Xenopus tropicalis: one gene and its partners. The protein of the gene in region 3 interacts with the protein of the main gene of each other region in a pairwise test. Links are inferred from orthologs where the notes say so. Each region holds a gene or a part of one and is shown on either strand. Other genes may lie near its edges. The genes, in order: ndufaf4, snrpa and ndufaf3.

What was found.
Region 1: the proteins of ndufaf3 (region 3) and ndufaf4 interact in binary tests that used the Homo sapiens proteins (3 or more experiments, as listed by UniProt). The two-hybrid records come from large-scale screens. The link is inferred for Xenopus tropicalis from reciprocal best matches to the Homo sapiens genes NDUFAF3 and NDUFAF4.
Region 2: the proteins of ndufaf3 (region 3) and snrpa interact in binary tests that used the Homo sapiens proteins (3 or more experiments, as listed by UniProt). The two-hybrid records come from large-scale screens. The link is inferred for Xenopus tropicalis from reciprocal best matches to the Homo sapiens genes NDUFAF3 and SNRPA.

Annotation. Positions count from the first base shown.
Region 1 is NC_030681.2:88,491,611-88,495,888, forward strand, and holds the start of ndufaf4 (NADH dehydrogenase [ubiquinone] 1 alpha subcomplex assembly factor 4), read right to left. Parts: upstream 2,808-4,278; 5' UTR 2,800-2,807; coding exon 2,664-2,799; intron 1-2,663. UniProt on the Homo sapiens protein: Involved in the assembly of mitochondrial NADH:ubiquinone oxidoreductase complex (complex I). May be involved in cell proliferation and survival of hormone-dependent tumor cells. May be a regulator of breast tumor cell invasion.
Region 2 is NC_030684.2:78,498,317-78,502,328, forward strand, and holds the start of snrpa (U1 small nuclear ribonucleoprotein A), read left to right. Parts: upstream 1-1,209; 5' UTR 1,210-1,443; intron 1,444-1,504; exon of another isoform or gene 1,505-1,526; intron 1,527-1,831; 5' UTR 1,832-1,850; coding exon 1,851-1,923; intron 1,924-2,061; coding exon 2,062-2,234; intron 2,235-2,901; coding exon 2,902-3,075; intron 3,076-3,154; coding exon 3,155-3,334; intron 3,335-3,858; coding exon 3,859-3,947; intron 3,948-4,012. Other genes in the region: UPF0692 protein C19orf54 homolog, read right to left, coding at 779-851. UniProt on the Homo sapiens protein: Component of the spliceosomal U1 snRNP, which is essential for recognition of the pre-mRNA 5' splice-site and the subsequent assembly of the spliceosome. U1 snRNP is the first snRNP to interact with pre-mRNA.
Region 3 is NC_030680.2:136,757,758-136,761,701, reverse strand, and holds the start of ndufaf3 (NADH dehydrogenase [ubiquinone] 1 alpha subcomplex assembly factor 3), read right to left. Parts: upstream 2,807-3,944; 5' UTR 2,759-2,806; intron 2,054-2,758; 5' UTR 2,029-2,053; coding exon 1,937-2,028; intron 668-1,936; coding exon 475-667; intron 1-474. UniProt on the Homo sapiens protein: Essential factor for the assembly of mitochondrial NADH:ubiquinone oxidoreductase complex (complex I).

The DNA of each region.
Region 1 (4,278 bases), on a different chromosome or scaffold from region 3:
CAATGTAAAGAAAACACATACACAAACACACTACTAGCACGATTAAAAAGTGCCTGTGCGTGTCAGTTTCCTTTAAAAGGTAAACTTTTAGTATGTTATAGACATACTAAACATATTGCAACCTTCTTAACAACCTTTCAACTGGTCTTTATTTATTTTCTTTAATAGTTTTTGAAAATGTATCTTATCTCTAATAAAACTACCCAATACCTAAAACAGATTGACGGAATCTGTAACCAATTGGATTATGCACAGCACTGCTCTTTCCTAGCCAAATGAAAACCCAAACTATAAAAGTTACATACTTCTGTCATAAACTGTAGCTTCAGGATACAGTGGTAAGCAGAGTTGCTGGTTTAACTACCAAATTATTTTTAAAAGGAGAAGGAAAGGCTAATAAAGAGTTAATCTCAAGCTGCAGGCATACATTCAGTTGTCTCAATAGTGCCCTTAAGTCTCCCCATATTTCACCTGTTCAGATGATCAGAAGCCAAACCGGAAGGAAAAACACTGAGCTGTGTAAAGAAAGTTCCCATAATGCCTCACTCCTGCACAGACACCCAGACCAAGTGAACATGCTCAGTTAGTTAGACTATGAGTCAGCTTCCTGCTGATTGGCTCAGATCCACATTCCTATGGGGGGTGAGTGAGTTCTTAGCATTCTTGAGGGAGGGGGGAGCAGGAGAAAGCAGAGAGCAGAAAGCTGCATGTCTCTGGCACATGAATTACAGAAATCTTTTCACAGAGAAGTCAGCGCAGCATTTCTGTGAGTGCTTATGGCTGTATTTACATAGACCTTTCTGATAAAGCTTACTTAGTTTTTACCTTTCTTTCTCCTTTAAGCTGTTGAGGGTTTCCAAAGTACAAGCCTGGCAGTGTACCTAGCCCATCCCCCCCAGTGTATGTAGGGTAATGTAGTTTTTGTTTAACATTTTACCTACTGCCAAGGTCAATGCAAAACTACAATACTCAGCACAGGACTGACTGGTGTAGCAAGAACTTATCTACTCTTTGCAGCAGTTCTAGCCTTTCAGTTCTAACCTGACTGCATTACAAACTTCTCATTGATGCATCTGGTATGTGCTGCTACTTTGTAATGTGATGTGGGGGGTTAACATTTGATTCTGCAGTTGACCACTAAAATTATACCTCCTGGGGTTGCCGAGAGTTAAACTTAAACACAGCCATATATCGTGTCTGAGGGTTAATGCCATACTGTGAATCCACTTTTGCTGCATTACCTCCATACTGTAACGCTTTATGTGGAACATCCCTGATTTTTTATCATCCAGCCCACAGTTCTGGATTGTCTGTTGATGTCTTTGATTTCAGAGTTTTGCAAACTGAGGCTCTAATGACATTCTCCCACATTATATAAAGCATTGCTGCCAGGAGACTGAGAGCGAGGGGTGTATGGCTGGTTTGGGGAATGCAGTTAAGGCTACAACTGCGTCTTTCATGAAATGCTTCGGGGCCCACTGTATGCCATGAAGTGCTTAGCATGGTATGGGGGGGGTGGACAATTAATACACCCATTACGTGTTGGTGGGTATGCATGACCTACCTCTTTTATTAGTGATTTATATTTAAGAGTGCTGTTACTAATAAATTCTTCCATTCCCTGGATACTTGGATGGCTTATTGTAAGCTGAAGCTGGCAGCGTATGTTGAAGTAAAACTACAATAACCTGCATGTACCCTGCACATAAGGGCATAGCAATATCAGATATCCTAGTATCAGAAAGGTGGGCACAGGTAGCAATTCCAGACTTGTAAGGCCAAAGTGAAGGCATATTTTTCACATATAAATATTTTTTTTATTTGACTGGGTAAATTGTGCTATTTTGAAACTGCTTTTGAAACAGCTTTGTGACAGATTTTGGCTGGTTTTGAAAATTAGACCTAGCAACCCTGATGGTAACAAGGACACCCTTCGTAGCCCTATCTGAAAAAAACTAGCACCAGTAATGAAATACCTACAACAGCACCTTTTATATCACTATTGCTGACAGCTGAAGCTCAGACAACTGAATGCACCAAAATGCATAGCAAATGTTTTTCAAAGTATTTTCAGGGATCAGAGTTGTTCTACCAATTTGTCAGTTTACTGAGCTGGAATGCACTGGTTGAATCACAGACTACTTTGATTCATAATAATTTAGACTGTGGTACCTGGCTGCACTTGCTTTTAAGAGTCCAGAATAACTTTTTGGTTCTAATAAATGTACACTGCAGAATTAGAACATCTATCTGCCATGCCAGGCAACAAATGCAAGGATTCTTTGTGCAATGACTAGTATTTATCCAACTATAAATGTAACACAGGAAAGCGATACTACTAATAAAAATAAATGAGGCAGTAGCACAACCCTTCAGGGTTCCACATTAGAGACCTAACCCATAGGTCATGACCTCTAACCAATGAGAAGTGCAGAACTTTTGTTCCCAGCATGCCTTTCTCACACACAAGCTAACCTTGTCATACGGAGTGAACTGATCTTAGCTGCAGTCGCTCTAGTAAACATTTAAGAATATGTACTATGTGTATTTTATAAAGTATTTTTCTGTGTATAACGAAAAACAAAAGTTCACAAGCTACATAACTGGTACATAGGATGCAAATATAATATCGCTGTGTGTACAAGTCTCCCACCCATACTCACGTGTTTTGGTTGCCCTCACTGCATCCTCTGTTTTGGGGTGGGTGGGCGCCGGCCTCGGCTTCTCCTTGCCAATAAGCCTATGAGCCCGATTTTCAAGGTTAAAGTTCCGCATGGCTCGGGTTAATGATAGCCCCATGCCTGTGCATAGCGTGCCCGGCTAGCCGCGCTCTGTATAAGGACGAGAGCCAAGGGGCCTGACGTGCCGATATCCTGCTTGAAGCACGTAAGGAGCCAGAGGGGGCTGGGTGCCAGTACCAAGGTTGGGCGAGCGTCCTGCCCTCTCCTCCCCTTTAAAATCTCCAATATCCAAATCCTTGTCGGGCTTCTGTTGCTATGTGCTGACAGGTCCCCCCCTGCCCCATCGGAACTCCTCTGTGCTGCCTGCCATTTAAGTTGTGCAATCTGCTCTTAGTTTGTCCTGACAGATTCCTGCTTCCCCGTTTATCCAAGTCATCTCTGGGCGTTCCTCCATTGAACAGCCTCCATGTGACATCTACCCGGCTTGCCTGCATTCTAACGGCTGCACAGTCTTTGTCCTCCATCCACCTTGCTTTCTTATGCGACCCACCACCCCTTCCTTGCAAGGTGGAAGGATGTGTTATTCCCGATTCCCTTCCTTAAATACCATCCAACCGCTAAAGCAGTGCTGTCCAACTGGCGGCCCGCGACCCCCCTCTGTGTGGCCCCCCACCTGTCTGGCTGCTTTGATGGCTTACTCTTGTGTAAGCTTTAAATGGTATCAGTACTGTGATTAACTGGCCCCCTGCATGGTTCTCACCTCAGATTCAGGCTGTAATCAGGCTGTATTGTTTAAATATGTAATCCCCTGTGTTGTTCACACCTTTTAATCTCTGCATTGTTCACCCCCTGCAGTGTTCACACCTCAGGCTCAGGCTGTAATCACCCCATTGTTCCCCTGTTCACACCTCAGGAGCAGTAGAAACCCACAAATAATCCCTGCACACTACAAAAAGAACATATACTGAGGTGGTACTGCAATTAAAAAGTTTTTTAATATATAGTTATTGTGCAGACTGTAGGAGCAATGCCAGCATTGTGTCACTGTAGGCTGCCTGTGTGTGCCATATACACAGGCATCATAGGGCAAGCAGAGTATGGCACACGCAGGCAGGGTAGGGAAGGCAGAGTATGGCACACACAGGCAGGGTAGGGAAGGCAGAGTATGGCACACACAGGCAGGGTAGGGAAGGCAGAGTATGGCACACACAGGCCAAGTATGGCACAAACCAGCCAAGAATGGCAAACACAGTGAAAGTATGGCACATGCAGGCAGGGTAGGGAAGGCAGAGTATGGCACACACAGGCAGGGTAGGGCAGGCAGAGTATGGCACACACAGGCCAAGTATGGCACAAACCAGCCAAGTATGGCACACAGGCAGGGTAGGGAAGGCAGAGTATGGCACACACAGGCAGGGTAGGGAAGGCAGAGTATGGCACACACAGGCAGGGTAGGGCAGGCAGAGTATGGCAAGTTTTTGCTGTACTACAACCATTAATATGGGTATGGTCATGTGATAACATGGGTGTGGTTTCAAGTGGGTGCGGTTTCAAAAAGGGGAGTAGTCAAAACTGGCTTCCATTATCGGCCCTCCAC
Region 2 (4,012 bases), on a different chromosome or scaffold from region 3:
CCAGATACTTTACTACTCATAACCAGACTACTACACTGGCAATTAGTACAGGGAAGAGCAGTCTGGAGTCTGTGGGTTCCTCAAGCATTATTATATAGTATACTTTGCAATATATAGGCAAAGACTATATAGCCCACATTCTATTAGTATGTGATATTTAGGCCTCAGTAGTGGATATCAAAATATTGTCACCAGAACTATGGCAAATATACAATTCCAAGCAAATATCTTGCAAGGAGGATTCTGAGCTTTGCAGTTCAAGTAGCAAATTCAGTCTCTATACCTGCCCCTGCAAATTGTGCTATGAACACCTTTTTGCAGCCTTTGGACAGAACTGGGGTGCAAAATGCAAGCTATTGCAGTGACCCATTGCCCCTGGTCTGGTTACTGTAAAAATAGATCTTGACCTTGCTAAATTCTCTACTCTGACCCTGAACTGTGGGTGTCACTTCCTAGCAATTCAAAGCAACAGGTCATTGTATCAACTCCCCAAGGAAGTCCTAACTGAAAATCTATTTTATTACAGGCGCATTAAACAGATCATTTTAATACAAATTTGGGGTTCTAAAAAGACTTGACTTTGGGTCCCTGTAATTCTAGTAATGCCATTGCACGGAGATGAAATTGTGTTGCTACTGGGAGGGATTGTGTGAGAGATTAAACATTTTCCGAGACGCTGAGGAATATGTCGTTTCTAAACCTTACATTGCAGATTTAGCTACAGGTTGTAAACAAGATCTGACACCGTACTTTATAGCATGTTGGTGAAAAAAACTACCAGATCCGGCTTCAGTTCGGAAACATTCTTTGACCACGTGTGTACTAAACCATATATGTATCCCCTTGTTCATCTGTACAGGTTAATTTATTCATTTTAATTGCCAACGATAGTATCTTGAAAACTATCACCTAAGCTATAAACGCCATGAAATCATATTCACGAACACCTACAACAATAGCAAAACAATATAGTCACGTATGCCGCAGGAGTCCGTTTCCTGTTTCCGGGAGGAATATATTAGCAGCTGCACCGCGTTCTACGCCTCGGCCTCCGATTTCATTGGTCGCGCGGCTTGCTTTGGGTTATTGCTATAGGGTGAAATGGCTTTCACTTATGGCTTGCAGCCAATCGATGAAGATTTGGGTAGGTCACCAATGATATACCTGCAAGACGTCGAGAGTTGCTGTAGCAACGCGGCCTAAGTTAGACGTAAATTGGGCGTTGAATGAATTTAGGTACAAGGCCTTCCGGTGGCGGCAATCTCAGTTAATCACATTGGGTTTTAGTGCATGCGACTTGCGTTGCTATCTTGAAATATTTCCTGCTATTGTACGTTCCATCCGGGAAGTTTATTTCTTTTCCAGCGTACCGTATTCGTATCGTAGCACAAGCCCAGCGTTTAATTTGGCGGCCCTTTTAACTGTATCATATCCAGGCTGAGGGTAAGTATGCTTCCGTCCCGTTCATTGTTATATCTTCCCGCTTCCTAGCTGTGCCACAACAACTACGGGCCTCTCACAATCAGGTCCCGGCTGTGATATTTCAACTTTAATGTTACCCTGTGTTCTTTGCATGGCTGTGTCAGGGGCTGTGTAGTTTTGTTATGATCTGGGTGTTGATAATACTAATAATACTATGTTACTACTATATGGCTCGCAAAGGAAAATATATTGTAGACCTTAGTTTGCACAAGTAAATAAGTCTGCGTGTAGTATAGGCACTGGTATATTATATGCACACTCTGCTCATACATAACTGGGCTTATGTACAGACTATACCAGGGCATTGTTCTATTTTAAGATGCAATTAACCCTTTTTTTCTCCCTTCAGATTAAGTTGTTGAGGAAGTATGGCTGTTCAAGAAGTCAGGCCTAATAACACAATCTACATCAACAACCTGAATGAGAAAATTAAAAAAGATGGTGAGTTAAGGCTGTAGCAATCCCTGGAGCGCAACCTAAATCTCTGTACCAGTGTTTACATTACTGCAATTTAGTGCTATTTAGAATTACTTGGTCTTTGAAAATCCAAAGATTTGACTTTTGCTTTCTTCTCTTTAGAGCTAAAGAAGTCTCTTTATGCCATATTCTCACAGTTTGGTCAGATTCTGGATATCTTGGTGTCTCGCAGCCTGAAGATGAGAGGACAGGCTTTTGTTATATTTAAAGAAATAAGCAGTGCCACAAATGCTCTGAGGTCAATGCAGGGGTTTCCCTTTTATGATAAACCAATGGTTAGTATTTATTGTAGTTTTTTTCCCATTTTTCATTTACTTTACTTCAAAGTGTTCTTTTAGGATAAGTCTATGGTTATAGAGACATGAATGATATCTGACACTTTATGGAAAAATGGTCAGTGACAGTGGAATGACCCATATATTTATATGAAAGGACATGGGTGTATATACCATCTTACTGGCAGATTAAAGGACTAGAAACAATTTTCCAAATCCCCCTGCCTATAAAGTAAACATACCTTTGTACGTGCATATTTGGGGTGTATGCTAATTTTCATTGAGGGGTTGAGAAGAAACTATGCACTCCCATATTGAAAAGGATATTGTACATAAGTTAATAACATCTTCAATAACCATCCTTCATAATATTTTTACAGGGCTCCTGGGTTAATACTTGTGAATGTGTGGGAGTTTACATCTGCTTAGGTAGTTTGCATGGATAGCTGTGCACATTGTTGCTAAAGGAATCCCACACCCAGTGCAATTAAATATATGGCTTGTTTGTTTATCTGTGCTCATTATTTCTTTAGAAAAAAAGAACTATAAAGCCAAGTTGGGTAGGGTGGTGGTGGATACATTCTGTTCAGTTTCCATACAGTATCTCCTCCCATTCCATTAAAACTTGGTTATTTTAGTCTTTATGCTGATTTTGCTTTTACTCCAGAGAATACAATATTCAAAATCCGATTCTGACATCATTGCCAAAATGAAAGGTACCTATGTGGAAAGAGACAGAAAGAGGCAGGAGAAGAGGAAGGTGAAAGGCCAGGAAGCTCCGGGTGTTAAAAAGGCTTTACCAGGTGCTGCGTTGCTTCCAGGCGTTCCAGGACAGATGGCGGTAAATACATACAATTTTTTTTTTTTCTTGAAAGAAACCCGTTATGTTGTGCACAGCCATAATTTTATTTATTTTTTAGGGCATGCAAAATATACCTGGTATGACTCAAGCTCCACGCATGATGCATATGGCTGGGCAGGCACCCTACATGCATCACCCTGGTATGATGCCACCACCAGGGATGGCACCAGGACAGATCCCACCAGGAGGCATGCCCCATGGACACCTGATGCCTGGGCAGATGGCACCCATGCAGCCAGTAAGTTAGACTACATCACCAGATCTGTCTGTGGGTGATAGTCTCGCTAGCTTTTATAAAGAGTACCTGATGTCTGCTAGCTTAACTATTCTTTGCAGCTTTCGGGGGAGGGGGTGCGGTGCTTAAAGGAGACATATTGGATAAATGGGGAAAACCCTAATATTGTAGGCAATTATGAATAATATATGGTGCTGGTTTCCCTTTGTGCTTAAAATTAATCCAATCTGTAAAAATGGCCCCTTTATTGGAGCTCCCTATAGATCCTCTCTTCTGACCATGTTTAAAATGAAGAGTGGGCGTTTCCTAATGGTCCCTGCCAGAAGCACAACTTTTTTAAGCGCAATCCTTCTATATCTAGAGGAGTAAAATTCACTGGTACATTCATTATTTTTATAGGATACATCTCCTTTAATATACTGGCAACTCCCAATAAACCTGGTGTCTTTCAAGAGCTGTCCACAGAAACTGCCTGTGTCTGAGTTTTTCAGTCATAACTTTGAATGCTGTTTTTTATTTTTTTTTAGATTTCTGAAAACCCACCTAACCACATCCTCTTCCTCACCAACCTTCCAGAGGAAACAAATGAGCTAATGCTATCTATGCTGTTTAACCAGTAAGTATTGCACAAAATATAACTGTTGTACACTGTCGTAGTTGCATAAAAACACCCTTGTCATA
Region 3 (3,944 bases):
AGTATGTGCCCCCTGCTGGAATTCTCATATAATTACATATTTGTCACACTGAATGCTTTCTGATCTATACACTATAAACATTGGACAAAGGGAACCTGAGAGAACAGTTTCAGTTCCAGACTGTAGTTGAATTAATCACACTGGGGGTCATGTAATAAAAGGCACTAAGTTTGCCCAGGAGCAGTAACCCATAGCAACCAATCAGCAAGTAGAAGTTACCTGTTTAAAAGCAAACATCTTATTGGTTGCTATGGGTTACTACTCCAAGAAAAACTTAGTGCCTCTTATTACATATGGGGGAGTGTGTCTAAAGGTATGTTACTTCCCAGTTTAATCCCCCAACCTGCTCACACATACTGTAACCTCAAAATAATCCCTCCAGGACAATGCATGCATACTGGATAGTCATTTGCACAGTGCAAGCAGTTTGGGAGGACAGCTGGTCACACTGGGATGAAGCAAATTCCCACTCACGTTCCACTGCAGGATGGCCTTCGGAATGACAGCACACGGGCCCACTACTTTGTCCCCATTAATAATGAACCCCTGTGAGCTGTAAGTCTCAATAAACATGAACTCCGCAGAGTCTCTCTCTAGGCGGGTAACAGTGGTTCTCTGATAGAGTTCGTCGTCTGTTGGAGCAAGGCGGTGAGACCGGCATGGCTGCCTGCAAGCAAAGTAGAGTCACCAGATTAAGGGCAATTGGTATAACAATCTGGAGGAATGCACGTTGCCCATATATACATTTGAATGGAATATCACCCACCATCATACTGCACTGTATCATAAGAAACTTCTAGAAGTGATCATTATTTACCGCTGGGTCACTTAGGGACATATACTTTCCCACCTACAATCAAATAATACTTTGTGATATACTGTAGACTCAGTGCTTTCCCTGGGGCAGCACTGAGAATCTGCTATATAACCCAAAATCCTGCTTTGGTGGTCTCCAAGTGACTCCTGTTCCTACAGCAGAAAGGCCCGGACTGGCAATCTGTGGGTTCTGGCAAATGCCAGAGGGGCTGCTGTAAGATGCCATAGACACTCACTATTTATTGGGCTGGGGGCGGGCTGTTTGGGCCTATGTGTACTTGGAATGCCAGGGCCTATTTTGAACCTCAGTCTGGGCCTGATCTGAGCCATAATGTATTATCATTCCTATAAAGTTGATACTTACTGTTTTACGGAGGTTTTTTATTTATTTATTAGATAACTGTGAGCATCTGTAACCGAGCATAAGCAATTTCCCTTTGGGATTAATAAAGTTATTTGAATCTTGAATTAGGCACAAAAAACTGCGTCACATGAGCAAACGCTGCCCCAGTCTAGTAACCCATATTGAAATATCACACATTTGCACTGCACTAGCCCTGGGAAACAAAATGGTGCTTCTTTGCTATAGGTCCCTATACATGGGCTGATTGTAGCTGCTGATATCGATCCTTTGGACTGATTCGGCAGCTTATCAGCCCGTGTAGGAGCAGAAACGACCCGATCGATACCTGGCCTGAAATTGGCCAGATAATGATCGGGCAGGTTAAAAGATTCAGTCGAACCGACTGCCCCATTGCCACCATTATTAGCCTATATGTTCCCCGATATCGTCCACCCGTAGGTGGGGATATCAGGTGAAGATCAGAGCAAAGCGAGTGAATCTTCACGTGTATGGGCACCTTAAGACACAACCTGAACCATTAAACTGCATTTTTTTGCAGCAACACATTGTATGCATTTGTTACTTACTGTGGCATTTAAAAACACTGAGCAAATTTGCACCTGGGCAGTATCCCATGACCACCAATCAGAAGTTTGCGTTTCGTGTTCTCCCTGCAGCTGGCTGGAAAAATCTAATGACAGATTGGTTGCTATGGGTTACTGCCCTGGTGCAAATGTGCCATGTGTGTATGAATGAGCCCCACTGTGCCATACTTACTGTGTGTGTGATTGGAGAGCAGATGCAAAGAGCTTGCAGTGAGGGGCCAGAGAGCGCAGAGACTGAAGCCTGAGTGCTGCTGAGAGAGCCATAGCAGTCTGTTGGGATCACAGAGGCCTGTGAATAAAAGCAGTTCATACATTAATCACACAACCTGGCAGGGACAACGGGAGAAATCTATTATATATAGGAGCAGGTCTGTATACATTGCAGTTTTCCTTTGTAACTCATCCCATTACATTGAGGAGGGAGTAAAACAACCCAACAATCATCTTGTAACTCATTATAATGAAAAAGAAATAGAATTTGTACTTTTTGTTAAGGTAATAAAATAGGAAGAATGCAAGTGTCAGTTCAATGTATCCTGTTTGTGCTGACAAAGCTGAATGTGTGTGTATTGTGCCCCTATAATGCCATGAGTTGGCACAGCCATATAACTTGCAGCTGGGATTCCCTGTGCCAGAGCCAAGGGCAGGGCTGAGTGGCCAGAGGGCACATCCCTGAGGAATCACTGAATGGCTTGGCCTGTACCCCTGGCTATGTAGCTGTATGGCGGTATAACCCCAGTCTCATCTGGAGCTATATTCACAATAAATTAGGGGTGTCCATTTTGCAGAAAAGTGTTGCTGAACTATAGTTGAATTAAGGCTTTTGGAGGATCCTGGGAGTCATAGTTTACATCACTCATGGCTGTGCCCCCTATAAACCTTGGGACCCAGGGTAAATACTCATTCTGTCCCACCCTACACCCGTTCCTCCCCTAGACTAGGATCCCTACACCGTGTATCACAGACCCGGCCACACACCCCAGCGATAACCTACCGGAGAGAAGCAATGCCACAGTCTCACAGTGTATTCATGCCCTTGTACATACAGCATGGCCGCCCGGCACCGATACCTACCATAGAGACCGGCCTTTACTCCCGCATCACTTCATACAGCGCCCCATCTAGTGGCCAGTTAGTGTGCCTGCATTATAAGTAGGATGTTATGGGAATTGCTGCGGGACGCACTGGTTGCTGTAAGGGCGGGAAGTTTGTGTTGTGAAAACATATTTCTTTAGGAATCTTAAAGGGGACCGTCCCATCACGGCTGTACACACCAAATATGGCTCAGTTATATGGCTGATTCTGACTGGACCCACCAGTCTAGGCCCCAAATGGCAACCTGTGGATTCTGGCAAATGCCAGTAATTGAGATGCCAGGGCTTTGAATCCCAGTCCAGACCTGCCTTAGACAAACTTCTGCCCCAAATGATACCTCTGCTGATGCCATCTGTTTTTTATGTATATGCGAAAAACCAAGCCACCAAGGCCACCAAACGAGCGGCTCTTCTCCCTATATCCCCACCTATGGGTGGGTGATATCGGGCTAATTCAGTCATTTGGCCCTGGGGCCAAAAGATCAAATTAGAACGACAGGCATAGGCGCAGTCGCAGTTGGTTCGGGGACCACATCAGCGAGCTAACAGTCCCCGATCCGACTAAATTTTCAAACCTGCCTGATCTATATCTGTCTGATTTCAGGCCAGATATCAGTCAGGCAGGCCTGTCGTTAGTGCACTTACACGGGCCGATAAGCTGCCGAGTCGGTCTAAGGGACCGATATCGGCAGATAGAATTGGCCCTTGTATGGGGACCCTAAGATTCCATAGACAGTCACTATTTATTGTGTGTATGTGGCTGCCTAAGGCTGCAGATTCCCACAAGCAAAAGAAAATGTGGCATGTCATGGTTTTCAGACAGTTACCACGCTCTAAGTGCAGGCAGGGATAAAAAATATATTACAAAACTACAAGTGCCCTGTAGGTAGAGAAAAAATACATTGCCTGTGCCTGTTTTTGCTACCCCTGGTAAGTTGCGGGCCGCTGCCACCTGAGGCAAATATCTCAACTCACCTCATGGCATCAGTGCCCCTGGCTGCCACCCCCACCTTATACAAGTACATTTCTGCCACCCCCTGGTAAATGCCACCCGAGGGAAGGTTCTCCTTTTTTCTCATGGCATAG